4 linked regions of the Alligator mississippiensis genome follow. The protein of the gene in region 4 interacts with the protein of the main gene of each other region in a pairwise test. Links are inferred from orthologs where the notes say so. Each region holds a gene or a part of one and is shown on either strand. Other genes may lie near its edges. The genes, in order: UPP2, NUMB, ATN1 and SIAH1.

Region 1 (7,841 bases), on a different chromosome or scaffold from region 4:
CTGCAGGCCTAATGTCCTTCCCCTGTGGAACTCCACTGATGGTCTTATGCGCTTATGCTACTTTCTTATGGCAGACTTGAAACTTGGTTTTACTGAGATGTATTTTATCAAAAAGAACTTTTTATTTAGGTTTCTGAGCAGATTAGTGAATCACAGAATTATGTGGGTTTCTGTGTGAAAAGCTCTTGGGATAGGATTCTACCTTTCAGAGCAAAAATTCCTTTGGGAACAGCGGCTGAAGGCATTCTGGGATATAATTTAGCTCTGCTGTCATGGCAGCAATGGGGCACATCCTTCTTTCCTTACTAATAAAACACATAGACTTTGAAATGACACCTATGATGATGGGCCACGTTCATCCCTTGAAATCAATGTTCTTTCTTTTACTAAGTCAGTAGAACTACTCCAGGGAAGAAAGTAGCTCATTGTGCCTGTTATAAGTTTAGCTTTTGCATATACATCTTTTATTGAGAAAAGAAGGGCAATCTCCATTGCCGAAGCTACAGCACAGTTTCTCAGTTGCTTCTCAGAAAGGCAGCATTTCCTGTGGGAGCTTTAACTCATTCTCCTCGAAAGAGCCAAGGAGAATGATAAAGGGATCTGTAAAATCTGTGATAAGAAAGGGGAGGAGGAATGAGATTATTTGTGTTCCAAGTTGTCGCTTTGCATTTGTTGTTTACCTTTATGTCACCAAACATCGCTGGCAGGTTGTGTGTTTTTGTTCCTAAATCTAAGTGATAGAGAATGTCTTCATCCATCAGAGCCAAATGAGGATTTTTAACATGAACAAACCCATTTCTGGAGGGGGAAAAAACAACTTTTAAGAATCTATGTGGACAAAGTCAAATCAAACAAGGGAATTCATGACATCTGAGCCAGTATCAGGACTATTATATAGTAATTTGGGTTGCCTTGTTATAATGCTATGTATGCCCAAGAGACCTAGGCTATGTGTCATAGGCCCAACCACTGCGGGGGGAGACCAGGTATTTTCTTCCCATTCTGTAGATGTTCCTCTTAATATAACTTCAGGACTCTTTCACCCTCTCTTAGTCCCCAACAACTTTTATGCAATTGCACCACTACTCTTTTCCTGTAGTTGTAATTGGCAAGTAGAAAAGAGTTGTATCAAGAAGCACCCCCATTTCTGCCACTGTGATAGCAGACAGCTGGATCTGGCATTGTCATTTCTAAGGCAGGGCTGAAGTGTGGTGACCACAGAGGAACTCATCAGAAGAGGTCACTAGGTCTCACTAGCAAACTGTAATCACTGTTACAGAAGGAATGAGTGGAGTGGACTGCTTAGGCTTCTTCTTTAATGCACAACCAAAGGATGAGGGCAGGATCTTGAGGGGGAAGCAAAGTAAAGGGACAGGGATGAAAGAATGGAGGTAGGGAGAGAGACTGAAGTGAAGAACTGAAGCGAGAGAGAGAGAAAATAAGGCAGTGCTTAGGTGAGAGTAAAGGGAAAAGGTAAAAATGATACAGATCACAAGGGGTGTAGGCTAGGGTGAGAGGGGTGTAGATGAGCCCAGACACACTGCAGTGAAGGAAGATCAGAACACGTAGGAAAACCTTTGAGGCCGCAAAAGGGAGAGGGAAAATGGAAGGAAACAAGATGAACAGGTGAAGTTAAGTCTGGGAAAATGCACCCATTCTGCCAAAACCTAAGACCACTGCCACAGGAAGAACAAATACAGACATCAGGCACTATGGGAACAGAATGGAAAGAACTAACAGCTCAGATCTTAAGTAGGTGAACAAAGTGGGGAGGTGGCAGGCCAGGCCACCCCACTGCATTCATCTATTCATTCAGCAACAAAGAGCTTCCGTATTGTATCCATTCCACATAAATGGTTTCCAAGCCTGGTCTTTCAGCTGCCACCTATATCTGGGATTCAAATCCAGCTTTACCCACGAACTCTCCTAGCCCTTTCATTGCATTCTGCACTGGCTACTGTGCCAGCAACAGCTTGTAATTTACTGCCAAGACTTTGTTTCTGGTCCCCTCTTGGGCTTTAAGCAGCTGGTTCCTCACAGGCTTCTATTTCGAAAGACTGCAGTAGGTGGACCCAGCCCACGTACACTTCCTGCATTACAGCCAGTGGCTGTTGTGGTAATGTTTAGGGAAAAATCTTACTGTTTTAATTATTGCCAGATAAATGGCCAGTGAAATATTTTCACTCTCAGTTAAAACCTTAGTGTTGCATTAATATTTTTCTTTGCATTTATACAGTTATCAGAAAATATGTTGTAATTATCTCCAAAAAAGTTCTGCAAAAAGAAAATTACCATTAATATTTCCTACTAATCTTAACAATGAGAAAAACCTTAAGTCTTTTTTAACACAATTCATCCAGAAATAGATGACCAGTAATATACTTATGCCCTAATTCTGGATTAGTTCATATAGCAGAGTTTGCTAAACTCTTAACAAATGATGTGATTCCATGTTGTCCCAAATCCCTGTCCCAAATCCCTGAATTAGATCTTAAATTACAATAAAACTACTAAGACAGTAGAGTTCTACTTTGCATTCCTTTTCCAGTTGCTATAATAAATTTAGCAGGACTAAATACCAGTGAAGGTCAATATTTAAATAAAGGCTAGTGCAAAACAGAAAATGCACATCTAATCGTATCAAAACAGATCTCAAACTCTCTCCTTTACTTACCCAGCATAACCTTTTTTTTCAGTCATTACGGGTTTGTTGGATTCAGCAAAGAGGGATGTTATGAATTCCCACTTTCAGAAAAACACTCCTGGGTTGACTCAAGGTAAGGAAAATACCTTCTGTTACTTCAGCTGCTAAGTTTTAAACTCATGTAAGACTATTTGAAGCAGCTCCTCAGGAAGTTAAATACATTCCAAGATAAGTAATGCAACTTTTTTCCTTCTGATATATTCTATTCAACCCAACAGCAATGAAATATTCCTTCTCCTGTGGATGTGTTACTTGTTTGAGAAGGCCTTCTATAGATTGGCTGTTTTTGAAGGTGTGTTACTTCTAACCTTAATTCACCTCCCACTATTATGCTAAGGTAACACAAGGGCCAGAGCTAGTTAACCTCTTGCTGCTGATATATTTACTCTTTGCTCGGGGTCCCGCACTTGGCAGTTATCTCTGCATATGACTCACATGACTCATGTACATTCTGAGAGCAAAAGCATCTGAGAGTGCAAATTGCCTGCCTGATCTCATAGGGCACTGACAGCAGTGACACTTGTTGTGTGATCAGCCCCCTGAAAGCACTCTACAGCGGTGCCATGACATAAGTGCATGACTGCAGCCCACGTTAAAAGTGGCTGATCACACAACAAATTAACTCTCATCTAATGGGGGGTCCAATGAAAGTTTGCAGTACCTTAGGGAACTTCTGAGAGGAGACCCCTCAGGGGATTTAGTGCTATATAAACTTTGCCTAGTTTCTCGATACCCATAAGGCTTTGGCAGCAGCTCAGTGCCTAGCTGCTCAGACTGGAGCAGTACTGGGCATGCACAGAAGGCTGAACTGAATGTAGAGAACTTTCAGGCCAAACAGGGAGATCTCAACTGAGTCAAGGCACCCCTTGAACAGGTGACTGGGGTATATTGCACTATAGGACCTAAGTGCCAAAAGTTTGCCCAAGTCTTGTGTTAGATGCCTGATTCCTTTTCTGGATCTGGCTCACTCATTCATATTAGAGCCACTTGAAAGTGAAAAAATTGGCTGCCAGTTCCATTAAACTAAGCTCTGGCACAAAGGTGGTACTACTCTATGCTTTGGTAAGCACAACATTTGCAGCTCAGAATGCTATTTCATGATATTTAAGCTTTGTCTACACGTTCCTCTGTCTACATGATGCAGGAACATGGAAGAGGTTGGAAATGAAAAGTTGGGTGGGAGGCAGGAAGAAAACAACATAGATTCATTAGATTCATAGATTTGCAGCTCTTAGGAATATGCAGTAGAACAAATTGCTTCATCTAAACCTGTAGTGGTTTAGGAGAGACTGATGTAGTGATGCATCAGCACTGGAGCAGAAACCTTTGTATCAATCAGCAACTGTTTTCACCTTTTTTTGTTCTAAAAGATGTTTCTGACAAAATAAAACAATGTGGCCAAATCAGCAGGAAAGTCTGCTTCTAACAGGTTAAACTACAAGATCATCTGACCCTTCTTGAAGGACACTATAAACACTTAGTTCTTTGCTGGGCATTTCTCCCATAAATGTTGTCAGCACTTTGATTCAATTTCAGATGGGTGTACACTTGCATTTTAAACATGTGAACTGTCTTTTCAGAACATAAAAAAGACTGAAGGTTTTAGAGCTGTGGCCTGTTACCTGCAACAATATTAAACCCTGTTTTAGGCACTGACTGGAAGGACAGAAACTTCTCATTTGGCATTTACATTTGACTATTACAGGTGAAAAAGTTGGCTAATTAGGCAAGTGTGGATGATTGGCTACTCCAATGCTTTGAGCTCATAAACATGTCTGAGTCTGTAGCCAACACATTCAATCTGCAGCAGTCTTAGATAATTCTGCTATGATTTATGTGTCCCATGTAGCAGCTCCCTTGGTTATTACGGCAAATACTCATCATTTTATTGAACCACTGAATAGTCATGAAGGATCTATAAAAATGGACAGAGTGCTAATGAGAGCCTCCTGGGCAAGCTTCACTTATGCAAAAGGCTTGTTCTAATTTTTAAAATCTTGTCTCCACTTTCCCTTCAGTTGGAACCATTCAGGATTGTAATTAGAGCTGTGCAAACCCTCCAGGGCTTGACTGGCGAGGGTCTTTGCAAAGTCAACTTTCCATAGTACAGTCTGCAAGAGGTCAGAAGGAAAGACAGCTCTTCACGTTTACCTGAATGCTTGAGTCAGGCCATTTCAATTACCAAGAGACCTTCCCATCCAAACACCCCAGTTTATTCCCACAGCTCAGCTTTAAACATTGTGAATATTGGGATCTTATAACAGTGGGCCAGTTGACCCCTCTGGCCCTTCTACTGCTTCTTGGGCCTGTTTTCCCATCATCCCCACAATTATCCTCAGGGTCATTATCAGCACCTAATCCTCACAATTTTCAGCTGTCTCTGGACTCTGCAAGAAATCCCACACCCAAAAGATTTTGGAAAAAGACCTCTGCAGCTCTATGTTAACCCTGGGTAGCTTCAAACCACAGTTTAACATGCTTAATACAGAGTTTTCAGAGTGGAAAATGTATAATTTCCATGTTACACTGCACTCTGAGCTTTCAGCATGTAGCATCTAAAGATGGTAAAACATTTTGCAAAGATGAGTCAGCATTATGAGCCAACAGTATCGAAACATACAGGTAATACAGTCAAGGTAAGGATGTGTCTTATGTGCTGGAGAGAACTTCTCTTGATCTCTTGTAAAAATGAGTATCTCCAAAGTTATTGAGGACTACACATGCATTGTTCTCAGTCTTAAATTGTATACTTTAAACAACATAATCACTATAGTTTTCAAATCAAAGACATAAATGTTTCAGCACACTGCATTTAATGCAGAGATTGTCATGAAAAATAAAATCTTTACAGTTTTGGCTAATTAACGTTACTTGTTAGAGAGAATACAATAGTGAGGTTAGTTACTTGCAAATGGCAGTTGTAAAGATTTTAAAGAAGATGAGATCACAGTATAAAGGTGCCAAGTGGAATTGTTTTGTTTCCTTTGTTGTATTTTTGTCTAACAAATTAGAAATGTGATTCTCCTTATTCAACAGTTCTTCTGATGCATTATTCAAATTCCTCTGTTGTGACTAAAATATTCTTTCCTGTTTCTATTTGTGCTTTTTAGCCCTTTAGATAAAACACAGCTGAGGTGGAGTGAACTGGTTTCTACACCTTGTGTATCAAACAGAATTGTTTACTGGACTCCAATCAGCTACAAATGTGCAAATACACTGAAGTCAATTGAGTTGCACAGCTATTGCTAAGGGAGTAATTTGGCCTGAGGAATCCTTATTACTGGTTGTGATGCATGAGATGGAAAGAATACAGCTTGTGTGTCAGAGCCCAGATGAGTTTCTAGGACTAGGAGGAAGTGTTGTGGTCTCTGCTGGTAATCCAGTATGTTTGATACAGAAATCATTGAGACACAGAAGAGAGGAAATCACATCATGCTATTATTTACCTTTGCAACTAAAACTCAATCCAGAAATGGCATTTGTAAGTGAGAACAGGTTTCCAGGCCTGACAAAGTTCAGAGAAGGCGGGATATGTCTTCACTCTTACGAAGAGATGCAGTGGTTCCTGAGAGATGCCCACTCTATTGTTGAATGCTCATTCTCCTACTGTGTTGCTGAAATCCTTTCAAAAACACTGTGCATAAATGTTGCCCTTAAAATGCTGCTGTTTTTTGGGGGGGTTTAATTGTGCACTGTGCTGTCCTAATGACAGCAATGTGTTTAGTCTGTTTTAAGATTGAGCCAATCAGTAGAAGTTGGGGGACTAAGTAGTTTTTATATTATACTATTTAGAATAGAGCTGAATTGTTAAGAGCTTCTATTCTGTCAGTTTAGATTAAACCCATTTAAGGCTTTATCCTAATGACTTTTTTGGTTTTATGCTGACATTTTCAAGGGAGACTAAAGAAATTGGGGACCTATGTCCCACTGAACATCAATGATTTCTGAGCACTTAAATCAGTCAGGCTGCTTCCTGTTCATTTACCAAAGGGCAGTGTGGTCTGGAGGAGACTGCGGTAGGCTGGGCTTTGTGTATCCTGAATCCAAGGCTCAGCTCTGCCGCTGGTTTCTTAGGTGACTTTGGGCATTTGCTTTCCTACTTTAATTGCGATGCAACTGCAAGCAGTATAACTACTCTCCACCCTGAAAGGACAACAGGGAAGTTAGAAGAGGAATTTCTGTTTCAAGTCCCTGTTACAGTAACTAAAAATAGAAACACAGTCACACTGTTTATAAAAGATGATTTATTGTATTATTTCCGAGTCTTCTTTCTTATATGCTGATATGTTGCTTATCAAACTCTCAGGGTGTCAAAATGGCACTAAGTCAATTGGCACTAAGTCAGTGATCCCTTTGTATTTAAGATACAGAGGTTAACCAGTTCTTTACACACCTCGTTTCTTAGGCCCACTTTTTAAAATGCTGAAAGTCTTGCCAGGCAGCCCTTTGCTACGCTGGTTTAAGCCTGTCTAGACAGCGCCCTGCGGCAGGGTATGGAAAACAGTTCCATCAGCAGTAGCATTTCTGTATTGCATGGTATCTCTATGGCTGGAGTGGGCAGTAGTGGTTCTGCCACAACACTTTTTGCCTCATCGGAATAAATGTGGTGTATAACTCAAAACTGACATAATACTAGATTCAACTCTCCCTTGTGTGCTGCTTGCTACAGAAACCTTTACCATGCCTTACCCATGATTACCCTATGGGCTGTTAGGCTTAGGAAAATCTTTGTGTCAGAACTGGGATCAGGATGCTGAATTCTGTTTATTACCCTGTCACTGCCCCTGCATTGCAACTAGGTAAATTGATTAAAGCCTGTGGTTGCTTATCTAAAAAGCAAGATGCTTCCCTTCCTCGGAGGACTATTGCGAAGATGTATTCCTTAAAGTTTGTGAAGAACTTTTGAGATCATCCAGGAGAAGGCACTATAGAAGTAGAAGCTAAATTATTTATAGGAAAGTGTTTCTAACTTAAAGAAAATCAAATTTGAAATATATGCCTAAAAAAAAGTTATGAATACACAAACTCATTATTAATTATTAAATTTGCCTCTGAGTTCATGTCTCAAATGTATTTTGCCTGCCTAGTCATTTACCTGTATGCAATTTGCTCTAAAATATTTTAGAATGCCTCTAGC
Region 2 (7,368 bases), on a different chromosome or scaffold from region 4:
ATGTTAAAAAGTGTTAATCAAGGTCAGCTAACTCAAGTAAAAACAAATACAATGAATCAAAAAATAAACAAACCCCCAAAAGCCCACATTTTTGCCCAGGATCTACCCTTGAGGCTTGTTTGGACTAAAAGCGGCAGTCACATTTAGGTCAAGTTTAGCTATCATATGCTAGAAACTATTCCTGGCCCAATGTCCTAATATACAATTTCCATCTTCGCAGGCTTGATGGCATTTGTGCTTTCTAGACTTGCACTTAAAGATGCCCAAGCCAACAAGCTATCTATCCAAAACAACTCAGAGATTCTTTTGGCACATGAACTAACACATAAGCAGCCAGAAAAGGGCTGCATTTATGATCCAACACATCAAAAAAAATCAAGTCTAATTTTTTCAAGAAATGGCAGGCTATCCAGAAGTTTCTGAACTGCTTTATGCAAATCCAAAATCTTTCTGCTGATGACCTTTTAGACCATGATTTAAAGTTGATAAAAATTTCACCTCAAAATCTGAAGACTCAAAGATTTGACTCTGAAGACAGACCCAAAGCAATTTCTTAAGAACACACATAAAAGCTAAGGTTTACTTCTGGTTCTAGAGCAGAGGTAGGCAACATTTTTTGGCCGGAGTGTTGAAAAAAACACGTCTAACATGGAAGATGCTGGAGTGTCAACATGCCAGAGCCTGGAACAGCTGTTTGCAGCCAGCCCACAGAGCCCGTTGCAGCACGGCTTGCAGCCTCCCAGCTGCCTGCTGGGAGCAGCCTGAGCTCCGAGGCTGACAGTAGCACCAAGGCTGGCGGTGGTGTGCCAAGCAAAATGGCCTTGCGTGTCATGCTCAGCACATGTGCCGGGGGTTGCTGACCCCTGTTCTAGAGCAATGGTATGACTGCTTGGCTTGGCTTCACACCATCCTCAAAAAGGGGCCCGAAACATCTACCACCCACATTCAATCAATTGCTGGTATAGAGATAACACACCCTTCAAAATTATCAGATTCCTCAAAACACTTTTTAATCACAAAGCTTTTGACAAGAAGCATTGTGAGTAAAATAGATGAACAGGTCATAGTTTTAATGTATGCTAGCCCAGGTAAAAGGCACACTGGTGCCTGGAGTTTGCCTTGATCAGCTAACAGATTAAAATAAACCCACTGACTCAGACAGGTAACAATAGCCATGTTTGCGCTAGGAACAAGCAACAACTTTTAAAACTTGCCCAAAGACAGCTACCAGATCAATGAACAAGCTGAAGATGGCTTCCTCAAAATCTTTATAGACCAACTAGTTTTTCTCCAAACTTCTGATGTTCTGTAAACCCATCTTTTTTCCACAAAGACAAATGACAAAGCCTTTATAAGGTACACTTACCCTGGGAAAGCACAATTGTTTTCCAGGACTAATGCAGTTGCACCAACAAGAGAAAGTCAGTATAAGCAACTATAGGCAAGAGACAAGAGTTCTTATCACAGGGCTGGTGTCAACCCTTGCATTCATATCACAAGTCTGGCCCCCAGTGCATGGGTGCAAGCAATTATGCAAGCCTCAGCCTTCACTAAGGAAAAAACGGTTTCTAGCCTGGATGGCTGTGAAAAAGAATCTACTATAAAGGTGCAAGAGACCAGAAAGCTAGTCAAACCCAAAAGTGTCATTTTAAAGGTAGACCACAAAACCATATAACTTTTTTTTTTTTTTTACGTGCTTGGGATTGGTAATTGCTGCCACAGTATCAGAAAGACATTTTCATGGTATCACGATAGAAAATACCCCAGCCCTTTTTAAGTGGTCTTGTTTAGAGTCTCTTTCAGCCTTCACTACTTGCAGTTAAAAAGAGAAATAAGAGTTAACAACATAGTTGTCACTATGAACAGCAAACTGGTGGCTGATAACAGATTAAATGACTGATACCAAGGGTCTGTCCATCCTAAAAGGCAGGAAAAAGCACACACGTATGCGAGAGAGTGTGAATGTGACTGAGCGCGTGGCCATGTGAGAGTGTGCGTGCAGGCCTGGATGTGAGAGTGTGTACAAGAGTGCGAGTGTGTAGTAATGTTTCGAGTTTTGCAAACCAGAGCTTTCACTGAGGCTTCAAGCCCCCATTTAATTCAGTTACAGATGAATGAATGTTGCCGTAGGATCAATTCAGTAACCAAAGCTCTCAGATTTACATACAAGGGTGACCACAAGGCCCTAATTTGATTCAGGTTTCTGGACACAAATTCACATTGATCCCAATTTTTTAGAGGCTGTTTCCATGGAGAAGGGCCAAGTAATGAAGAAATGGAAAACCTCCGTGGATTACTGGGGGGGGAGGAGGGGATAAGAGAGGCGAGCGTTGTTTTTCCTCTTCCTCTGGAACTACGAGCCCGCGGGTGCGTGGGAAGCTGCCGCCCGGCCGCCCGCAGCCCGAGGGCGCGCGGCTCCGCTGCGCCAGAGAACAATGCTGCGGCCAGGCCGGGCCATTGTTACGGTCCCCAGGCCGCGGGGGACACACGGGGAGGCGCAGGGACCTCCCTGAACAGCCGCTTGCAGCAGAGGCGTCGGCAGCGGCCGCAGCCCGGCCCGGCCCTGCTGCCTGCCGGAGCCCGGAGCAGCTGCCACGAGCTCGGGAAGAGGCGGAGAGTGGTGCGGGACCGGCCGGGCAGGCCGCGGCCGGGACCGCTGCCAGCCGGCAGAGCCGGCCCCACTCTCCGCCGGAGCCGGGCGCCAGCCTCCCCACTGGCCCGGCCCGGCCCGGCCCGGCCCCTCACCTGCCGGCCCCGAGGGCACCGCCCGGCCCAGCGCGGCACCGGCCAGAGCGGGGGGGACGGCGCCGGGCGGCCCCGGGCAGGAAGCGGCGGCGGCGCCCCCGAACCGCGGGCTGGATATCGCCGCCCCCCCCCCAGCGGACCCAATCCTGCCCCGCGACTCGGCCTCGGTCTCGGCCCCGGCCACACTCACCTGCCGCCGCCGCCTCCCCGCCGCGCCGCCTCGGCCGCCCTTCGCCACCCAACACCAGCGCCGCCGCTGCCACCGCCCCCCTGACAACAGTCCCCGCCCCCCGCCCAGCCGCGCAACCTACTGGTCGCCCGCGCCCGCCTGGTTGGCTTCGATTGCTCGGCGCGCCTGCTCGTCACGGCTCGGCCCCGCCCACCCCACTTAGTACCCACCTATTCACTTTAAGGGAGGGTAGACTCGAAGTGGGGGGGGGCTTTGCCACCCCCGTTCCTCCCCCCCCCTCACCGCTCGTCCTCCGGATTGGCTCAAGCTGCTGAGGTTGAGAGGTAAGATAGGCTGCCAGGGCTGCCAGCTGTTGCACTGATCCTGCCCCCTTCCCTCCCGCCTTCAGCAGCATGGTCGGCAGACTGGTGGCGGTGGCAAGGTTGGTTGCACGGCGCACAGGCGAGAGGGAGGGGCAGAGAAGACAGCACCTGGGCCGAGTTAACCCTTCGTGGGCTCCGCGCAGCCTCTCCCGCGCCTCTGCGGAGAGGGGGCGCTGTGCCCGCCTCATCCCTCGGGAACCTGCGCCTAGCCAAGTGCAGCATGAGGGATTTCAGCTTGATGCCGGTATAGAAGGAAAGGGCCCCATGCAACTGAAACCCTTTTTTGGGCTTTGCCTAGAGCTGTAGCTATGCGGATTATATCAGGAACACTAAAAGTACGCCATTGCCACGGCTCCCAGGCCCAGCAAACACTGCTCTCCCACAGCTCGGCCGCAAGACCACATGTGTGAGAGACTACCATAAAGCTATTGTGACCCAAACCTCCCAATCAACAAAGACATCTCTACGCCACCCCTGGATAGACTCAAATCTAGAAAACCCTTCTGGAAATATGCCAAGAAGCTCTATGATGATAACAAGAGCACCAAAGAACAATGGAGGGAAGCTTGGGCAAATACCAGCCTACCACAGAAATACATTGTCAGTGACCCTACAATTCCCCAGCTAGGATTTGACCTACCAAGAAAGATTTGGTCCTCCCTGAATCGCAACCAGACACTTCATGGAAAATGTGGACACCTGCTCCATAAATGGAGAACCAAAGAGAATCCGGGTTGCGATTGTGGTGCGATTTTTTTAGACGATGCAACACATTGTGAATGATTGCCCAATTAGACCTTTTAACGATGATCTAAAAATCCATGCAGCTACCCTTGAAGCAGCCAAATGGTTATCAAATTTAGATATTAATCTCTGAATGTTGTAATCCTACAATGTCGTAAGAAAGAAGTGTTTCATGGTCCAGACGTGGGGGTGTCTCAGCAGAAAAGGGACTCCTAAGTTTAGGCATCTGAATTCTCCTGAGCTTTGATACCCACCAGGGTGTTGGGGCTTGCTGCTGCTGCTGTCGCAGCCTGGTGATGCTCAGGAGCTCCAGGGTTGCCCACCATCTTTGCCAGGCAGTGCTGCCCAGTTGGCACAAATCTGCTTACATTTTGCTTTTTGACAAGGAGCCTTAGTGCCAACTAGCTGGAAGCTGAGCATGACCGTGTGAGCCTGGGCCCACCTCCGTCCTCCTGCAAGAACTCTCCTGCCACAACACCCATATTTACTTATGCTACTGTTCAGTAGGGAAAGTCAGCTTCAAGAAGTGACAGTGGTAGTGTTTTGGGTGCAGCACCCAAATGAACCACATGCAGAAGGTATAGAGCCAGGAAGCACTAGCCAAGAATTCCTTGCCTTCTGTGAATGGCCTTGGGCAGCTCTTGTATCCAAATACAAGTTAGGGCAGCCTTGAGCTCCCCCAGAAACAGGAAATGCAAAGGTTACTTAAAGCTCTTCTTTCCCCTTTTTCTGAATCAAATAAAGGAATGGAGGAATGGGAAATCAGAGCTCAGGTGTTTCGGTGTGGGCATCCACAAATGAGGCAAACTAAAACCAATATCCATATTTAAAACTTAGGCTAAATTACTTGTTCATCATTACATACGAAGTCAGTGGCAGAAGTGAGAAGTAAACTCTGATTTTCTGAGCCTCAGCAAGTGACTCAACCACAAAATCACCTTTTGTTAGACTATCAACACTGAAAGCAGAAATCTATTTTTTCCCCTCTTTTTACATATGACTCAGCTTGGTGAGTGAAAATAAACTGGTTAGTTCTACTTCTTTTTACACTCATCTCTAGTTACTTCCGCACTGCTGTTTTCACACACTCACCAGTGTATAACTTCAGTATGTGTTAAAATATATTTAAACTGCTTGAACTAAAAATGTTTAAAAATTAAGGGAATGTTTGCATTGATCTTAAGGTTTTTTGAAGCCTAACAAGCCTAACATTGTTTGTGACCTGAATAGCTCCTTAGATATGTTATGTTCCAGGTGGCTTTAATTTAGCTCTTCCTCATATTTACCAAAGCTAGACTCTGGACTCTCTGTTGCTGACATAGAACTTGAGATAAAGTATTGAGCTTTAAACCTTCATTCCAAGAGAAAGATTGTCATGTTACAAGTGACCTCAACTTTCACATGTGATGTAGCCATGAACTGGTAAGGACAAACCAAGGACACTACTGTCAAAGAAATACATTACAGTTTTAATCGATAAAGTCCAAATATATGCCTATCTCCAAGCATATCTGCATTTTTTTAATGTACCTGCTTGTAGCTATTCTCTTGGTTCTGTTAATGCTGCTGCCTGCTGACTTGCCCTAGGTAGCCACTAATGACTGAGATGGGGAAAAGAGGACATGAGGGAGGATGAAGGAAAGCTAGCCATAAAAGAAGTCTTGAATTAAACCACACTCTCACTCATTATGATGGTCAGGGGGCCAATTCCTACAGCCTATAGATGAGCTTCCTGGAGAGGGTTTCCAAGGATGCAGGACAACAAATCCATCTCCAAGGCCTAATGTCAGGCGCAAGACCTGATGATACAGTAACCTAGGACTGTCCAATTTCTGAATGGGCAGGAGTCACCGGACCCCAGTCACACACTGTGTAGGTCACATACCTCCAGTGCATGCCGCATGGGCTGCACACTGCACCATGCAAGCCCCCCTGCTGCACTGCATGGGCCCACAATGCACTGGGAAAGCTCCCCACAGTGCATGTGCCCCCAGTGTACCATAGCCCCACCACATAGGCATGCCTTGCTATGCAGACCCCCTACATGCACGGATGTGATAGTCCCCTACTGCTGCACAGTGGGCCACTCCCACTGCATCCCACCAACTCCAACATGTGTGAGGTCCCCAAGTCCCCTGAGCCCTCTAGCTATGGGGTCCCTCAGCCCCACTGGCCTCACTGCTCCAGGGGTGGGGGCAGGCAGTGGAAGCTGGAGGAGGAAGGGAGAGGCTTGGGACTCTGGCAACAGCAGCAAGAGAACAAAGGGAGGAGTTATCACTTGGATCAGGAGTCCAGGGACTGTAGTTTAACCCCTTGGGATCTGTCGGTTGGACAGCCCCACGATAACCTATGAATTCTAGGGGTTATGAATGGCTAGCAGGGTCTACATAGCAAATCCAAAAACTCCACCCAATTTTTATTCCTGCCCTGTCCCAAAAGCATCAACCTAGGAACAATCACAATAGAGTGGAGCTTCACGGGTTCTGGAGGGTTGTAGACTCAGTTCCTTGAGTCCTGCTTACTTCTACCCAGCAGAAGTGAATTGATTCAGTTTAACTCTAGACCTTTCCATAGCTACAAAGGAAGAAATAAAATCTGTACCATTTCTCCTAAGGATTCTATAATTTAGGAATTTACTATTATTTTACAAGCCCCACGTTTTCACTGCAGTGAACCAGATATTGATATGGCTCACCTTAGTTTTCTCTGACTGGCCCTCTGCGTTACAAAATAAATCTAACTTATGTAATCTCATTGTGTATGACGTAATGAGGGCCAGGATGCTCTATCATTCTTTCATTCTTTATAGGGATAAGCTATACTAGCATACACAGTATGCTATACTTTTAACAGTATAAGTACGTCCAGAAAGAATTGTACTACTTTGACTACACAGGTATAAAGCAACATGCTTTGTATGTTCAAACAGGCCCCAAGAATTTCCTAACATTTCTCAATGTTTCTGTAGCATCAGCACAGCCCCACCTGTATTAGCAAAGGTGAAAGACAGGACAGAAAGTTAATGATGTTTTTTCCTATATTGCTCTGAACAGAACTCAATGATGTGCTTGTTAAAACACATGCATCCTGTTTGCACTGAATTTTCCACCTTGCTAATACTGTACTGCTAGACAGAGCATGGAAGGATGTCAGAAAATCCTCAGTATAAATAAAATTATATAGTCATGTCATACAGGAATCAGTGAAATCATAGGACATTTTCTTCTGTTAGGAACTTATTGAAGGAGTAAACGACAAATTGGTATGCAGTAGATTTTGCATTTTGAAAGGGGTCCAAAATCCATTTTATGAACAAAGCAATGTAAT
Region 3 (7,271 bases), on a different chromosome or scaffold from region 4:
AGGACTGCAAACTATAAATGCCAAATATAGCAAATCCATGGTCAGGTAACTGCTGTGTGGGCATGTGCAGTGACACAGGAGTCTGTCCATTATTGTCTCAGTTCAAAGAAGAGACAAGCCCTCCCTCTACAGCTCTTTGAATACTGCACTCTGATCTGGGTTCCTCTGACCCAAAGATGGAAGAAGGTCATTTCTCCTTATAGAGCTGTGGGGAGACCTCACGTGGAATACTGTGCTTAGCTCTACAACCCACAATCCAGAAAGATGACAACAAACTCTAGGGAACTCAGTGAAGAATTAAAGAAAGACACAAGGGGCTACAGGGACTGAACCCTCAGAAGAGATCAGAAGAGCCAAACTTATCTGGCTCAGTGAAGCTCAGGTAAGCGCTGTTCTACAGGAGAAAATGTATTGATGTAATTATACCTGTATAGGAATGCAGCTATAGTCATATTGCATTCATTCCTTTTTGATCCCTGGTATTCAGGAATAAAAGTGCCCAAACAGGGAGCTATACTGGTATTCCTGTGTAGACAAGCCATAAGGTGGGGATAAAAGGGCCCACTGAATTTGCCTGAGGGGAGCAAAGCCTGAGGAGGAAAAATACTAGAACAGATTAAACCCATTGAACCCCTTCATTAGGATTCATGAGACATTAAATTTGCAAATGATTGGGTGAGATGTATTGTTACCAGCGAGCTTTATGGTTCCTTCAGAGCCATACTGAAAAGCTCAGTCAAGAATTCGAACAATTTCCCCAAGACCACAAAGAGAAAAGAGGTCTTCCTGCCTAGGAAGACCAGATCCTCCAATCAGGAAACAGAAACCATCATCTGTGACTTAGAGGTCTCACCACATGGCGCAAATTCTCCTTTCAAGCAGCTCATTAGCAACCATTGGCCAACATTTATTCTCACAGATGATTTGTTACATAATCATAAGTAACATATGTGAAAATAATGACACAGTCCAAGGAGAAAAGAGTGATATTTCTCAGATAAATTAATCCCAACAAATCATTTGACCAGCTCCTGTTCACAACCTCCCCCCTGATGTCAGTCAGGATTTTGTAGGAGTGACTTCATCTGCTTATTTAAATTTGTCTACCTCTGGGGTACAGGGCATTTAGTTCTTTAACAGTCATACAGCAATGCTGCACAATGGTAAAGGGCAGGGAGTGAAAGAGAGCACTGAATCTCACAACAACTATGGGGCGGTTTCGGCAGGCAGAACCAAGCTACCATAGAGAGCACTGAGGTGGGAGCACTGAGGTTAGCACCCCAACTCCTGCAGAAAGTGATGGGAACTTTAACAATCACAACAGATTAACGCTTCAACCTGGTATCTAATGTGAAATACATCACTCATGAAGCATCTCAATTCTTCACACAGTACTCCACTGTTCAGGCCAACACTGAGCGCACACCCCTCTGAATGCACATACATGCAAACCACATTACTCGCCATTTTCTCCCCTCTCCATAGGTCCCTGTCGTCTTTGCCCTCTCCTTCAGTTTCAGGAGGCACATCAAATCTCAGGCAATCCTCCCAGTACAACTGGGGCCAGAGATACTGAAGCTGTGTAAGGACTCAGTGTTCCAGAAGAACCAGAAAAGGGCAGAGGAGCCCTACTGGCCACGAAGCATGGGGCAATCAGAGTAACAGTAGGGCAACTAACAGCCAAGGGAGCCAGAGCACAAAGGAAAAAAAAGCAAATAATGCTAAGAGGTTGGCCAAAACGTCGTCCTCGGCAGTCCTTCGATTTGAGGATGATCTCTACCACGGCTCATTGACCAGCACAATAGCAACTCTGTCAACACGGAGATGGCACAATGGCCACCAGAAAAGGCAATCAAATACACCTCAGTGATAAACAATAATGATGGTGGGCTAATGCAAGAACCAGCAAGTGAGTCGCATTGTAGCAATGTGACAGTCACCGAGCACAAAAGGGCAGGTGGCCCAAAGGGGATCATGCCCAAGAGGATCCCCAGCTAACAGCCCAGGGGGCTCCCTGCAAAACCCAACTGGCTGGCCCCAGCCATGGGGGCAGCAGGCACAAGACTAGAGGCCGAGCCCTCAACACATGAGCGGCCCAGCCGAGAAGCCAGAAAAGCCGGGTCAAAGGGGCCAGGAAAGCCAGGCTACAACCCACTTGCAGGCCGGGTCTCTTCCCTGGGGCACCCCCTGCAGTGAATGGGTGGGGGGGCCCTGAAGCGCGTGCGGAGAGGCAGCGCCCGGGCCAGCAGCTCCGTCCTGCCCGGGGGGCGCCGCGCTGCGCTCTCCTCTCCCCAAGCGGCCCGGGCGGGCAGAGGCAGCGCCGCGAAGTGAGACCCAAGGGTGTCCGCGGGCAGCGGCAGCCCGGGCTGCTGCTCCTTGTCCAGCATTGTTGTGGCGCGGCTCGGGCCCGGCCCCAGCCCCGGCCCCGCTGCGGGGGGAGCAGGGAGTGCCGCCCTCTCCCCCTGGGGGCTGCCCGCGCGCCCCCGCCCCTCGCCCCGGGCGCGGACTCACCGGCGCTGCGGAGCCGTCGGCTGCAGGGGAAGGCGCCCGTCCTCGCCGGGGGTGGCGGAGCGGCCGCAGGGCCCGGCCGGGGCGGCGGAGGAGCGGCAGCAGCAGCGCTCAGGCGCCGGCGGCTCTGCCCCGGCCCCGGCCCCGGCCCCCGCGCCGCGCGGCCCCCGCGCCCGCCCGCGCCCCGCCGCCCGCCATCCCAGTCCGCCGCGGCTCTCGCCCCGCGCCCGCCGGGGGAGCGGGGGAGGAGGAGGAATCCTGCCGCTCCGCGCGGCAGCGGGAGGGAGGAAGGGGCAGGGAGGCGTGTGCGTGTGCGTGTGTGTGCAGGGGGGCCGGCCCGCTACAGCCCCCGCCCCTGGGGCCGAGGGGGTGCGCCCCACTCCCAGCTGCCCCCCCTCGATCACGCGCGCACACACACGCACACGCAGTGCGGGGCGGCGGGAGCCTTCACCTGCCCCGCGGCGCCCCCCCTTCCCGGGGCCCCTGGGTGGAGGCCCGGCTGCTGCCCCCGGGCCCCTCAGCCTCCCTCCCCGGCTCAGTGCCACTCCTCGGGCTCCCCGCAAGCCCCCTCCCACCCAAGCCCCAGTACAAAGGAATGGGAGAAGCCTGGAGCTTTTTTGGCAAGACAGACCCGGGAGCAACAGCATCAGGAAAGGGAGGGAAGAGCCGGCTTGGATCGCTCCGGAGCGGGAGTCCCGGCCTGCACCCCCAGCCCCGGGCCAGGCGGGCGGGCGGCACCTTAGGAGCGCCAGGGCCACAGGGTGCGGGTCTGAGAGCTTGTTTCTCTGCCCACGGGAGGCGGCCCCCTTTAATCCCGTCTGAAGCCAGGCTTGAGTCGGGGGGAGGGAGAGGGGTCTTGTAGGGCGCCCTACAAGCCAAGGCCCCCCCTCCGGCCTCAAGACTTGCCCGCCCCTGTCTTGCCCGGGTCGGGGCTGGAGCCTGGCGCCCTCCCGGCCGCTCTCCAGCACCGCCACCCGCTGAGCAGCCGCTCCCAGCGCCAAGGGTGTGCCTGGAGCCGGCATCCTCCCCCAGCCCGGTCAGCGGTGCCTGTGCAAACCGGCCGGCCACAGCTCCATGCCTGGCCTTTGCTTTCACCGGCCTGGATCTAATCAGCATTCAGAGTCTGCCTGAAGGATTACACAAACTGCACACACTTCAATTGCTCACCCCCCTCCCCTCTCCATCTTTCCCTCCTGGAGCCTGTCCCATCCCCCTTTCCCAGTTACCAAGCAACGGCACAAAGGGAGAGTCTATAGTGTGGAGGCCAAGAGAGGGCTCTCAGCCCTGCAAGAATGGAGAAGCCTGTAACCCAATCCGCGCCTTTGTACCTGAGACTGTGGGGAGGAGAGGGATGGAGAGGAGCAGAGGCAGGCACACGCAGAAAGAACGGATAAATATATGCAGCTGGCAACGAGGCCCAAGAGCTGTATGCCTTAGAAAATACAAGATTCCAGTCCAAAACGATAAACCCACACAGTGAACAGGAGTGAAAATACATTGGTGGCATCCTCAAAACACCATTTATTATGGAGTGGGGAGCTTCTCCCGAGTTAAGGTTGCAGTAAGCTTCCAACCCAGGCCTTCCTTTAGCCTCCCAATTATTTCAATTTGAAAATTGCCACCTTTATTCCCAATGCAAAGGAGGTTTATGAGACTGCTGAATTCATCTCAGCAAAAAGACTGCTTGAGTTATACGTCATTAAAAATGACCCTGAATTTTTCAGTCTTAGGGTTTCATCAGGTGTTTCTTTTCATGCCTCTGCTTCAAAAGGCCTCTTTATACAATCCCCAGAATTCAATTTTATTGAAAATACATGCTCTAACTATTTTGGAGAGAAAGGGTTGTAATTAAATGAAGTGGCTAATGATGTTTGTTTTGTGTGAGAGAGAGAGAAGGATCTGATTCTGCTCCCATTGGTTTCATCTGGAGATGTCAGTCCTTGACACAAGGAAATGGTGGGTGTGGGTGTGTGCACATCCGCACATGTCTGGGTGGGTAGGTGTGCACATGCACATACGTGTGTTTGGGTGGGTCAGTGTGTGTGTGGGTATGCATGAGTGTGTGGGTGTGAGAGAGAGAGAGAGGGAGGGAGAGAGAGCTTGAGCAAGAAAGAGTGCAAGTGACCAAGACCATGTTACCCTTCATTGGCTGGATTAAGTTCAGTAGATAAGGATGTTCCTATCAGCAACACCTAATAGCTCCTTAAGTGCACGTATAGAGGCCTCAAACTGTGCCATAATGTTTCTAACGTTATAATGATATTTTACTGTACTAGAAAACCCCAAAGAATGCCAGATTGTCAAGTCAAGTGCTTGAAAATTAGGACGTGCTAGAATTAAGGTTGCCAGTACAACTTTAATTTGGGACCCTTATGCATATGTATTCTGATTTTAATTTTACTATCACATTCTATTTTTTCCACAGGACTACTGCTTCTTTCTGTGCACAGGTTGAACAGCACTCACTGAATGGATAGCCAATATTTATTTTTATCTTCATCATTCATTATGTGGCTCCAAGCGTTATTTACTGTACGGCATCCAAACCCTGCAATGAACACAGAATTATTACTTTTCTCATGGGTTTTTCAATGATGCTCATCACCATAATATCTGGATGCTTTACAAATGTTAATGAACTTATCTTTTTAATATTCCTGTAAGCTACCATTATCCCTATTTCACATACAGGGAACTAAGGCTCAACGATTAATACTAAAATTGTCAGAAGTGTCCATATAGTTGGAGTGACCAACTGGAAATGGTCTGACTTTTCAGAGTACTAGCAATTAATAGCACGTTATCTGTTCAGAACACTCCTCTAATTTATCTATTCTAAAGCATGGTTGTGAATGCTTGTCTCCTGTACTTATCAGAGTCCAAGTGTTTTTTCAAGTTAGGCCCCAGAAAATAAGGAATACATTTGTATAGCTGTTGAACCTAGAAGACCCATTCATGGGCCTTGATCCCAGTGTATTAGGTACTGAACAAATACAGAACAGAAGAAATATCCCTGCCTAGAGGGATATAGATAGATTCAAAAGGAAATGCCAGAAATAATGAGATGATATTGGACAGAAAGAAAGGCAGTAGTCTCATAACTCTAACAGCCTAACCACTGTCAAATTTTTGTAGGCATCATATTTAATGAGGTTTTTGAAGAAGGATAATGAGGTAGATTGGCAAAAGTTCATGATCTTCTTCCAAGCATTAGGGACACCAGTGAAAACCTGGATTAAGTGTCTTGCTCCACATCGCATAAGAACTCTATGGCAAAGGTAAAAATACAGTCTAATTCTCCATGAGACCATCCTTTACCTCAGAGGTGGGCAAAATACAGGTTGAGAGTAGGATCTGTCTGACCCACTAAGGGATTTTGTCCAGCCTGTGGCAGGTCCCATAGCTCAGGCTCAGGGCACAGCCCAGGCTGTGGCATGTGCAGTCAGTTCAGAAACCCAGCAGGGCTGGAGCGGTGCAGTAGTTGGACTCACTTCCCAGCAACCCCAGTGGCGGTGGCTCCTTCCAGCTGCCACCACCACTGGGCCCAGCCCCACTGCCTTGGCACCCCAGCCCATCTGCCCTGCACCCAACACTGGGGGCAGGACCCATGCAGGCAGGCCAGGTGGATGGGATGGGATGGGATGGGGCCACGGGCAGGCAGGAAATGGTATTTGGGAGCAGGACAGGCAGATGAGGTCAAGATCACGGGGCAGGATTGTGAAGCAGTGACAGCATGGGGCTGGGGCAGAGCTGCAATCTGCTGCCCACACGGCCCCATGACGAGTGTAGGTTCTGTGGGCAGGGACTTGTGGGGAGCAGATCATAGCTCTGCCCCTGGCTCTGGTGCCAAGTTATCACCATCCAAGATCCCAGCCCCGGATGCTTCTTCCTGCCCACAGGTGGCCTCATCCTGTCTGTCTAGACATTTGCCCTGCCCACACAGGTCCCGGCTGGTCTCCATAGAGACCTTGGGACCACTAGCCAGTGACAGTGCGGGGCTGGAGCTGGGGACAGAGCCACGATCCACTCCCTACATGCCCCTGCCTGGAACCAGTGCCCATTGCAAGGACGTCAGTAGTGGATCATAGGTCTGCCCAGGGCCCTGGCCCCATGCAGTCACCATCCCACAATCCCAGTCCTGGCCCTGGCTGCCCACCCATCCTGCTCCCGGATGCCTCCCCCTGCCCACTTATGGCCCCATTCAAGCCCCCCAGCCGAGTGCCCAAGGAATTTTAGTGAACTGTTGCTTGCGAGAATGGGGGCAGGTGTACTGACTGGCAGAGGGAAGAGGTTGATGTCATATATTTGGACTTCAAAAAAGCCTTTGACCCGGTGTTCCATGATGTCCTCATGGAAAAAATGGGCAACTGCAGCCTCGACTACTCCACAATCTGATGGCTGGAGAACTGGCTCCAAGGTCGGACCCAGAGAGTGGTAGTTAATGGAACTGAATCAACATGGCACTCAGTGACGAGTGGCGTCCCCCAAGGCTCTGTTCTTGGACCTGTACTCTTTAATGTATTTATAAATGATCTGGACACTGGTGCAAAAGCAGACTGGCCAAGTTAGCTGACAACACCAAACTTTGGGGAAGAGTCTCCAAACTTGAGGATAGGTTTGTGATCCAGGCCAACCTCAATAGGCTTGCAAGTAAGGTTCCCTCTAAGGTGCGCGTACGCGACCACGCACAAGTAAAAGGCTGGCCGCGCACAAACTTTTTAGTCTGTGCACCCGCTGGGATAGGAGCTGGGCTGCAGCGTGGG
Region 4 (7,543 bases):
AGAGTGAATGACCATCTAACACTAATGCCCATTTCATGGTAAACACTCAGCATGTGTCAGCTCTCTAACCTTTCAACCTGATTCTTGTTCTCCTTTTCATAGCAAGAGAAGTCTACAGAAACCTAGAAGCAAAGCATTGTTATCACAAGCCCACTCAGCTCCAATATAACTGAGGTCTGGACTGCACATGTTTAAGTATCTACCTTTGATAGCTGCACACCATGAAGACAGAACAAGGCAAGGAAACAAGTCCCCGAGATAGCCAGAGCTTGGAAAATGTCTCATCTAAGAACCACTTCCTTGTTACCCATGCACCTTATCTGATTCACATACACAGCTCCCACAGCCCTAGTTCCGCCCCAAGTGCTTAGGGTTTGATTTTTCTTGGGTTGACACTAACCAGCAGGGTCTTGATGTGTACTGTACTGACATGCTGAAGCACTGAACAATCCTTACCTTTTTATGGGTCTCTCAGACATTCAAAACTACCATTATGGGGCCCTCAGTAGTGGACCTCTGGGGCTCTAAGTTGATATTATTATTAGCTAGCCATAAGACTTACATATTTGGATTTATTTTCCCACTGAGGCACTTTTACTTAAAGAGAGGGAAATTAAAGCTCGCTCTCTCTCAACCTGACCTTGGCCTCCTTTCTCTAAATGGAGATCAATTCACTGCAAGAGAATCCAGTACCTCTAAATGCTTTTGAGTAGCCAAGCTCCCTTTGCTGGTATGGAGCAACTCATCGCTGCTTCTGGCCTGTCACTCTAAGACTCTTCAGATGAAGATTTCAGGTTTATCACTTTTCTTGGAAGCAGGCCCACAGTCCAATATCTTGGCCCTGGAATCAGCACCCATCAACCTCCCCCCACCCCCCCCCCCCGCAAGCCTCCCAGTTGCTTTGATCCATTCCCTCCAAAATCCACTTTGGACAGCTGAAAAACACAAAGGCTTTTGTAAAAGAAACCGGCACGCACTCATATGCTGAAGTCTTGTAAGAGTCGCAGGTCTCTGCTTCCCACTATTCTTAAGAGCTGCATGTGCCCGAGACCTGCTACCACTCAGGCTAGGTGACAACTCCCTTGTCACCTTTTATCAGCCCCATCCACAAAGAATCAATATTACTCACAAACCAAATCTTAGTCATGAGCCCCAGGGAGAAATCCTACACACCTCAAACATGCTGAGCTCTCACACTGCCATAGTTTCTCTGGGTGGGGGTGAAAGGAGAGCAAATGAGCAGTAAATGGTAGTTGTTAGCAAGTGAATCCTCCTTGGAAACCATCTAGCAACTCTTCCTTCCTTCCTCAGCTATACACAAGGTGAGAAAAAAATAGCCTTTCCTTTCTTAGGCCTTGGTATACAGTCACAAACAGGATATACAGCCCGTTCAAACTCTCTCAACATAAAAGAAAACAAATCCTGCATATCACAAACAGAGTTCATAAAACTGAACAGAAGTCAAAGTTACATAGAGTGGTTCTCAACCTTTTGTACCAGGACCCATTTGGTAAACATGGATAGACTGTCCCAACCCAGTGCCCCCAGGCCCCAGCCCCCAAGTATGGGGCAGGGGAGCCCCAAGCAGCCCCTGGCAACCTGAAAGGGAAAACCCACATTTTCGCACATTTTTCTCCTTTAAAGGATAATCCATTTTTTAAAGTTTGTTCACAGTCCTTTCATATAGTCTTGCAACCCATTTTTGCATCATGACCCATGGGTTGAGAAATGCTGGCACAGATGACTAAACTATCGCACTGTTTTAAACAGGCAACCTAGAACCACATTTGTTCAAGGGGAACTACTGAAGCCAACCGCTTCCAATTCAAGAAAGCCTGACGGGCCACTAATTAGCCACCGCGCTGTCCAAACTGCAAGCCCTACTAGTCTGACCTCCATTCCCATTACAAAAAGCTGAAAAGTTACACAAAACAATGAACAGAGCAAGAAGTTCAAGTTTGTTTTCCCAAGTTTAAATTTTTAAAGCCCGTTAGTTAGCACTAACATTTCTGCTAACCAACTATATTTTTCTCTAGATTGAAGTAAACAGTTAAATATAACTGGAAAAGCAGCCAGAAGTTGTGCAGAAAAATAAAAACAAATGCAAACAACTTTTGCAGTTACACGAGGCTGGATATAAATTAAGCTGCACAGCAAATCGGGATCAGGTGAAAAGAAAAAATGTAATTGCTATTTTGGTTTGTCCCGTGCATGAGATACCACAGGAGTCTCCACTCACCGGGGGCGGGGGAATTAGTCTCTAAGCAACACCGACAAACCGAGATACTGAGTCATCACCAGAAATATTTTGCGTAGTTTCTACCGAGCAAACTACATAACTCAAAACACTTTCAAGTGGAACTAACAGCAGCGGGGGCAAATAAAGGGAAGAAATGAGTTGTACAAATGCCGGGGGTGTTGGCTGTAGCAGACTCGCCCTGCGCCCGAAGGGTGTTTGTGCCCCAAGCTGGCGGAGAACAATTTTTTCCAGCTATGTAGGTGGTCTCGCATCTGCCCAAACCACCTTGTAAACATGTAGCAAGAAAAACAACGCTCCGTAACGCAGTGAAAGAACTGACGAGAGGGAGGGAGCGAGCGGGCGAGGAGCCGGCCGGGAAGCAGCCTGGGGCTGCCCCGGCTCCACGTCCCGCCGCGCAGCTCGCTGCTACCTTTCCTCTTGCCGGCTTTACTTCCAGGCAGGCACGCGGAGAGGACGCCCTTCCACGGGTACAGAAAGCTGAAGGCGGATTTCCCCGTCATGAGGAGGGAAACAGCTCATCGCGTCTCCCCATAGAAACAAAAACACGAGGCCTCCCCCGGCAGCAGAGCCGAGCCGGGTCCCGCCTCACGCAGCCAGCAGCGTCCGCACCGCCGGGCACCTCCGCCTCCCTCCCAAAATGGTTCCCGGCCCCGCGCCCGACGCCTCCCGCCCCTACGGGGCGCCCGGCCCCCGGCCCCGGCCGCGCCGCCCCCCGCCGGGCGCAGGCAGCCGGGCCGGGCCGGCGGGACGCGGCCGCGGGGCCCGAGAGAGCAGCGGAGCCGGGCACTCCCGCGCCCCGTGCGAGGCCCGCTGTGCAAAAGCCATTTGCTGCCCGAGGCCCGGCCCGGCTCCCGGCGCTACTCGAGCTCCTCCTAGCTCCGGCCTGGCAGCACAGGCCGGGGGGGGGGGGGGGGGGGGGAAGAGGGAGAGGCGGCGGCGTCCACCCCACCCCGCCGGGCTCACATGATCCGGCGAGCTAACAAACAGCGGGGCCGATCGCCCGCCACAGCCAAGGAGACGCCGCGGAGAAGGGGCGCTGCAAGGCCCCGCGGCCGGACAGCCCCATCGCAGCCTCCCGGGCTCGCGACACCCGGAGCCCGGCCCGCTCGGCTACTTGTGGGCAACTCCGCGCCCATTGCACCGAGGGGCCTCTCCCCCTTCGCTTCCTATTTCTGCTTCGGATCGGGGCAGCCACCTCACGAACCATTTCATTTGATTCGGTGTCAGTCCAGAACAGTGCGAACGCTTCTTCCCCACCCCCCAGTCACATCACTGGTTAAATAAAAGCTGTCACAGACTTCAGGCAAAGCCCAAGTCGCAGGGAGAGAACAGCCGGAGTTCAGAGGTAGGACAGAAAAACCCCAGATGTAAAAAGCTGGACCAATCCAGTGATAAGAAAGTGAGGCCAATGAGATAGCACCGACATGATAACCTCTGAGCATCGAATCCAGCGAAGTCTGAGTAACAGAAGGAAGGGCTTTTATTAATACTGTACTCATAACACACCCAAACACGCATAGGGAAGGGGAAAACAGTATCTAGCCAGTTCAGTTAAGGACTGAGAAAGTTGCCAATTATTTTGGTGTTCAAGGAGCCTTCCAGCAGACCAGAGCAGCTCGGACCCTACATCCTCTGTATACTTTGAGAATGAATTAAAAAGCTCTTTAAAGTAGCTCTTGTGCTCTTCAATACGGCATAAAGCAGCTTCTCCCAGAAGAGATGCACAGCCCCTCAGCAGGTTTTGTGGGTTTTTAGAACATGTTCATATCACCCCTTAAATCCCAGCATAAGCAGGACCTTAAACAAGTTATTCCAATCGTGTTATAGTAACGTGATCAAGACAAAGTTAACAAAAAGCACATCACCTGCCTACCAAGAAAAGGCAAACAGCTTAAAGATTCATCCCTTGCTGCTGGTTAAGACATCTAGATACACGTTAAGGCAACGGCATTAAAAGCCTAATTAAAAGATCCTCTTTTCTTTCAGCTTCCCAATAATTTTAGTTTTGCAACATCTTTTTTATACTTCAAGCCCTGAACTAAAAAGGTCAAAAGCAAGCCAAAACAAAACAAAAAACCCTACAGACCTTCAGGCAAATCTGAGATCTTTTTCCACCTATTTTAGTTGGTCTAATAAAAAGGTATCGGATTTATCCAAATAACTTTGCCTGCCTATGTCCTTAAACCATCACGGCTACAACCTACACCCCTACACACCTTCATGCACCTCAAGAAAGAAAAACAAGGACCAGATTAAGGGGCAGGGTGAATGTCCAATGAGGTAGAGGGGACAAATGGGAGACTGAACTAAGGGAGAGAAAATAAGTCCTCAGGAATGATCCATTTAGGCACCCTAAGCAAAATGGAAGCTGAACTTCAGTTTCTTTCCCCTTAAACTGAGAAACATGTATATATTCACATGTAAAGAAGCAGTCAGAGAGAAAGCAGTTAAAGCAGATGCACAGGAGGAGGGAGCTAGAGGTTGGATAGAAAGATGGAATATTCCCACTGAAGACTAAACTGCAGTACAAATATCAACATGAAAAAGGAAGCAAGCTAGGAAACATAACAGGCTATGCCTCCAAAGTTGGAAGTTTTACACATGCATAGACCAAGATAATCCTGGTTTTGCAATTTCCAGAGGTCCAACACACATACACCCTCCCACCCACCTCCTCACTCAAATATAAACAATCTTGTACACTGCTAAACATTTAACAATATTAAAGTTCAAGACAAAAATAAGTTGTGTTTTAGCCATCCAATTTGGTAGTACAAAAGACTTTGGATAGTAGTTAAAAAGCAACTTGAGTGAGATAAAGGTAGAAAACATTTAAAAGGGTGTGTTGGGCCATGCAGTCTTTACACTTTGATATTTAAATACTGTCAAGGGCTGTATTTATATAATAAATTTTGAAGTTCCTAAAGGAATATAACAGGGTAACATGTGGCCAGTGTGCAAAAGACATCAGACAGAAGAGGCATGCAACAGAAAGACTGTTTCAAGGATACTGTTTTGGGAGTCACTTATCTGTAAAGAACGAAGGGAGGGAAGTTATGACCTCATATTAAAAAAAAAAAAAGCAATTGTGAAAATGATATTTAAAAGATACTGGCATAACTCTGTGGCTCATTTCTATCATGCCTTAAACTGAACACGTGGCCACTTGTGCCCAGGGACCTGTCAAAAACCTGTGCACCACCCAGCTGGGCACTACACGTGGCTTCATAGATCCCAGCACAAGGAAAACTGGGCATCAGTTGCTGCAGCCACATTCTAGGGAGAAGTGAAAACCCCGTGTGTCACCCAGCTGGGGAGCGCACAGGATTTATACAGTTCCCCATGCACACAGAGCCTGGTATCAGGGTGCAGCAGCCTGCTGCCAGGCTCCCTGTGTGTCATAACTTAAAAAAACCATGCCTGGTCCACAGCCAAGCAGCACATTCATTTTTACTAGTTCCCATCTCACAGGGACCCCAGAACTGGACTGCAGCAACCAATTCCCAGCAACCAATCCCAGGGTCTCTGTGCCCTCCATCTGGGGTTTTGACAATCAGATGATTGTCAGCATCCCGGTTGCATCTTGCTCATACAGGAGTGCTGGGGATCATGAGCCTGGGCTCCCAGCTTTCCCCTGCACCAGCAAGTAAGGCACAACTGGGATTTAATCTCCAAACCCAAAATCACATGTCCTGCATGGTAGGATCATGGATTAGAAATCCCATCACTTCTTAAACTGAAGAACTGTCAGGGGCCTTAGTCTACTCTATTACTGAAGCTCTTAAACATTCTTCCAGTTTTCAGAAATGTTAATGTTCCAGTGAACTATTTAATGAATTTTCACCGCCCAAAGTAGAAGTGCAAACTGTAAACAAAACCGGGGAAAAATACTGCCTGCTTTTAATGAAGAGAAGCTTTTTTTTTACTAAAGAATGTTGTCTTGTAATCTCATATATACAATGTTAAGAATGGACAAGTAATTCCAAGAAGTCAAGAAAAATGCAAAAAAGTAAGATTGCCTTCAGAACTTTAACTTATACCCATGTGCATATTTGGTGTACAACAACAAGCAATACATTAAAGCTACAAATTTAACCAAAGCCGAAGAAAAACAGAAAAAAAAACAAAATACATACCTGGCAGATGGTAGAGTTAACATTTCTGCTTGAGCCTCTCTGATTTCAGTCTGTCTGTACAGTCATAAGAAGAAATTGCTTACCTATAATTCTGTTTCTCTGAGATCACTAAAACAGTGATTCACAACCATGGTGCTGTGGCATCTCTTTAAGGGTACAGCAGAGTGCCACAGGGCACCACTCAATATTAGCACTATTAGATGTACTACATATGATCTACAGTATCAGTGATTCTCAACCAGGGCCCCACAGCACCCTGGGATACTGCAAGATCCTTTTAAGGTTGCCACAGATGCCCCTCCCCTGGGTGGCCTTGTGCATGCTCGTCTGTGGCCAAGTAAGCAGGCATCGGTGTCTGTCTCTGTGGCAGGAAGGTGGGGCATGGGTTCTTCCCTCAGTCTGCTCTGAGGCTGTTACCACTGCCCAGCCAGGTCCAGACGAGGTTACTGCAGTCCCTGAAGAACATGGGCAACCAGCTCCACATCAACTCTATCAAGGCCACCAGAGCAGCCAGCTCCAGGCAAGTCATGGACTACCAAACTCTGGGTTCAGTGCCTGCCCCACTGCAGATTCAGGCTTTTCTAGCAGTCCCCCCACACAAGTGAACCTTCCCTCTTTACTTTGCCCCAGGCAGAGGAACCAAGGCCTGCCACCTTTCAGGCCTTGTAATGTTCTGCTGCCCCATCCCCTTCTCTTCCAACCCTCTTGACATCCTCCAACTTGTCACATGTGAAGCCCGGCACCTTTTCCCTGTTGGCCAGGTGGAGCCAGGTCCGGCCAAAAGGCATTCCCAGGCTCTGCCCAGGGGTAGAGCCCTTCACCTAGAGTTCAGGGGAATCACCCTGGGGTAGCTAAGGGGAGAAATTGGCCTGACAGTTCCCAGACGAGGCTTGAAGCCATATGTAGGGAATCCACGAACCATGCCAGGAGTAAACATATTCTGGGCAGGGCAGAGCCAAGGGAGTGCTCCCCTGTGGAGGCCTAAGGGGGTGCATAGTATACTTATATTATTTGCATACATCATCATGCAATAAAATAATCAATTATTAATTGGATCAATATATTATTTATAAAATATTCATACTACAATTACAATAGCTTTTTTAAATAGAGTGCTGCTAAATTCTGAAAAGTTAGAGTCCAAAAA

The links.
Region 1: the proteins of SIAH1 (region 4) and UPP2 interact in binary tests that used the Homo sapiens proteins (3 or more experiments, as listed by UniProt). The two-hybrid records come from large-scale screens. The link is inferred for Alligator mississippiensis from reciprocal best matches to the Homo sapiens genes SIAH1 and UPP2.
Region 2: the proteins of SIAH1 (region 4) and NUMB interact in a two-hybrid assay, tested with the Homo sapiens proteins (2 studies listed by BioGRID and IntAct). The link is inferred for Alligator mississippiensis from reciprocal best matches to the Homo sapiens genes SIAH1 and NUMB.
Region 3: the proteins of SIAH1 (region 4) and ATN1 interact in a two-hybrid assay, tested with the Homo sapiens proteins (2 studies listed by BioGRID and IntAct). The link is inferred for Alligator mississippiensis from reciprocal best matches to the Homo sapiens genes SIAH1 and ATN1.

What each region holds. Positions count from the first base shown.
Region 1 is NC_081827.1:222,472,693-222,480,533, forward strand, and holds the start of UPP2 (uridine phosphorylase 2), read right to left. Parts: upstream 3,019-7,841; 5' UTR 2,701-3,018; coding exon 2,675-2,700; intron 799-2,674; coding exon 681-798; intron 1-680. UniProt on the Homo sapiens protein: Catalyzes the reversible phosphorylytic cleavage of uridine to uracil and ribose-1-phosphate which can then be utilized as carbon and energy sources or in the rescue of pyrimidine bases for nucleotide synthesis.
Region 2 is NC_081825.1:236,385,336-236,392,703, forward strand, and holds the start of NUMB (protein numb homolog), read right to left. Parts: upstream 3,013-7,368; 5' UTR 2,936-3,012; intron 1-2,935. UniProt on the Homo sapiens protein: Regulates clathrin-mediated receptor endocytosis. Plays a role in the process of neurogenesis.
Region 3 is NC_081824.1:244,060,989-244,068,259, reverse strand, and holds the start of ATN1 (atrophin-1), read right to left. Parts: upstream 3,001-7,271; 5' UTR 2,512-3,000; intron 1-2,511. UniProt on the Homo sapiens protein: Transcriptional corepressor. Recruits NR2E1 to repress transcription. Promotes vascular smooth cell (VSMC) migration and orientation. Corepressor of MTG8 transcriptional repression.
Region 4 is NC_081833.1:53,966,640-53,974,182, reverse strand, and holds the start of SIAH1 (E3 ubiquitin-protein ligase SIAH1), read right to left. Parts: upstream 3,020-7,543; 5' UTR 2,761-3,019; coding exon 2,670-2,760; intron 852-2,669; exon of another isoform or gene 694-851; intron 1-693. UniProt on the Homo sapiens protein: E3 ubiquitin-protein ligase that mediates ubiquitination and subsequent proteasomal degradation of target proteins.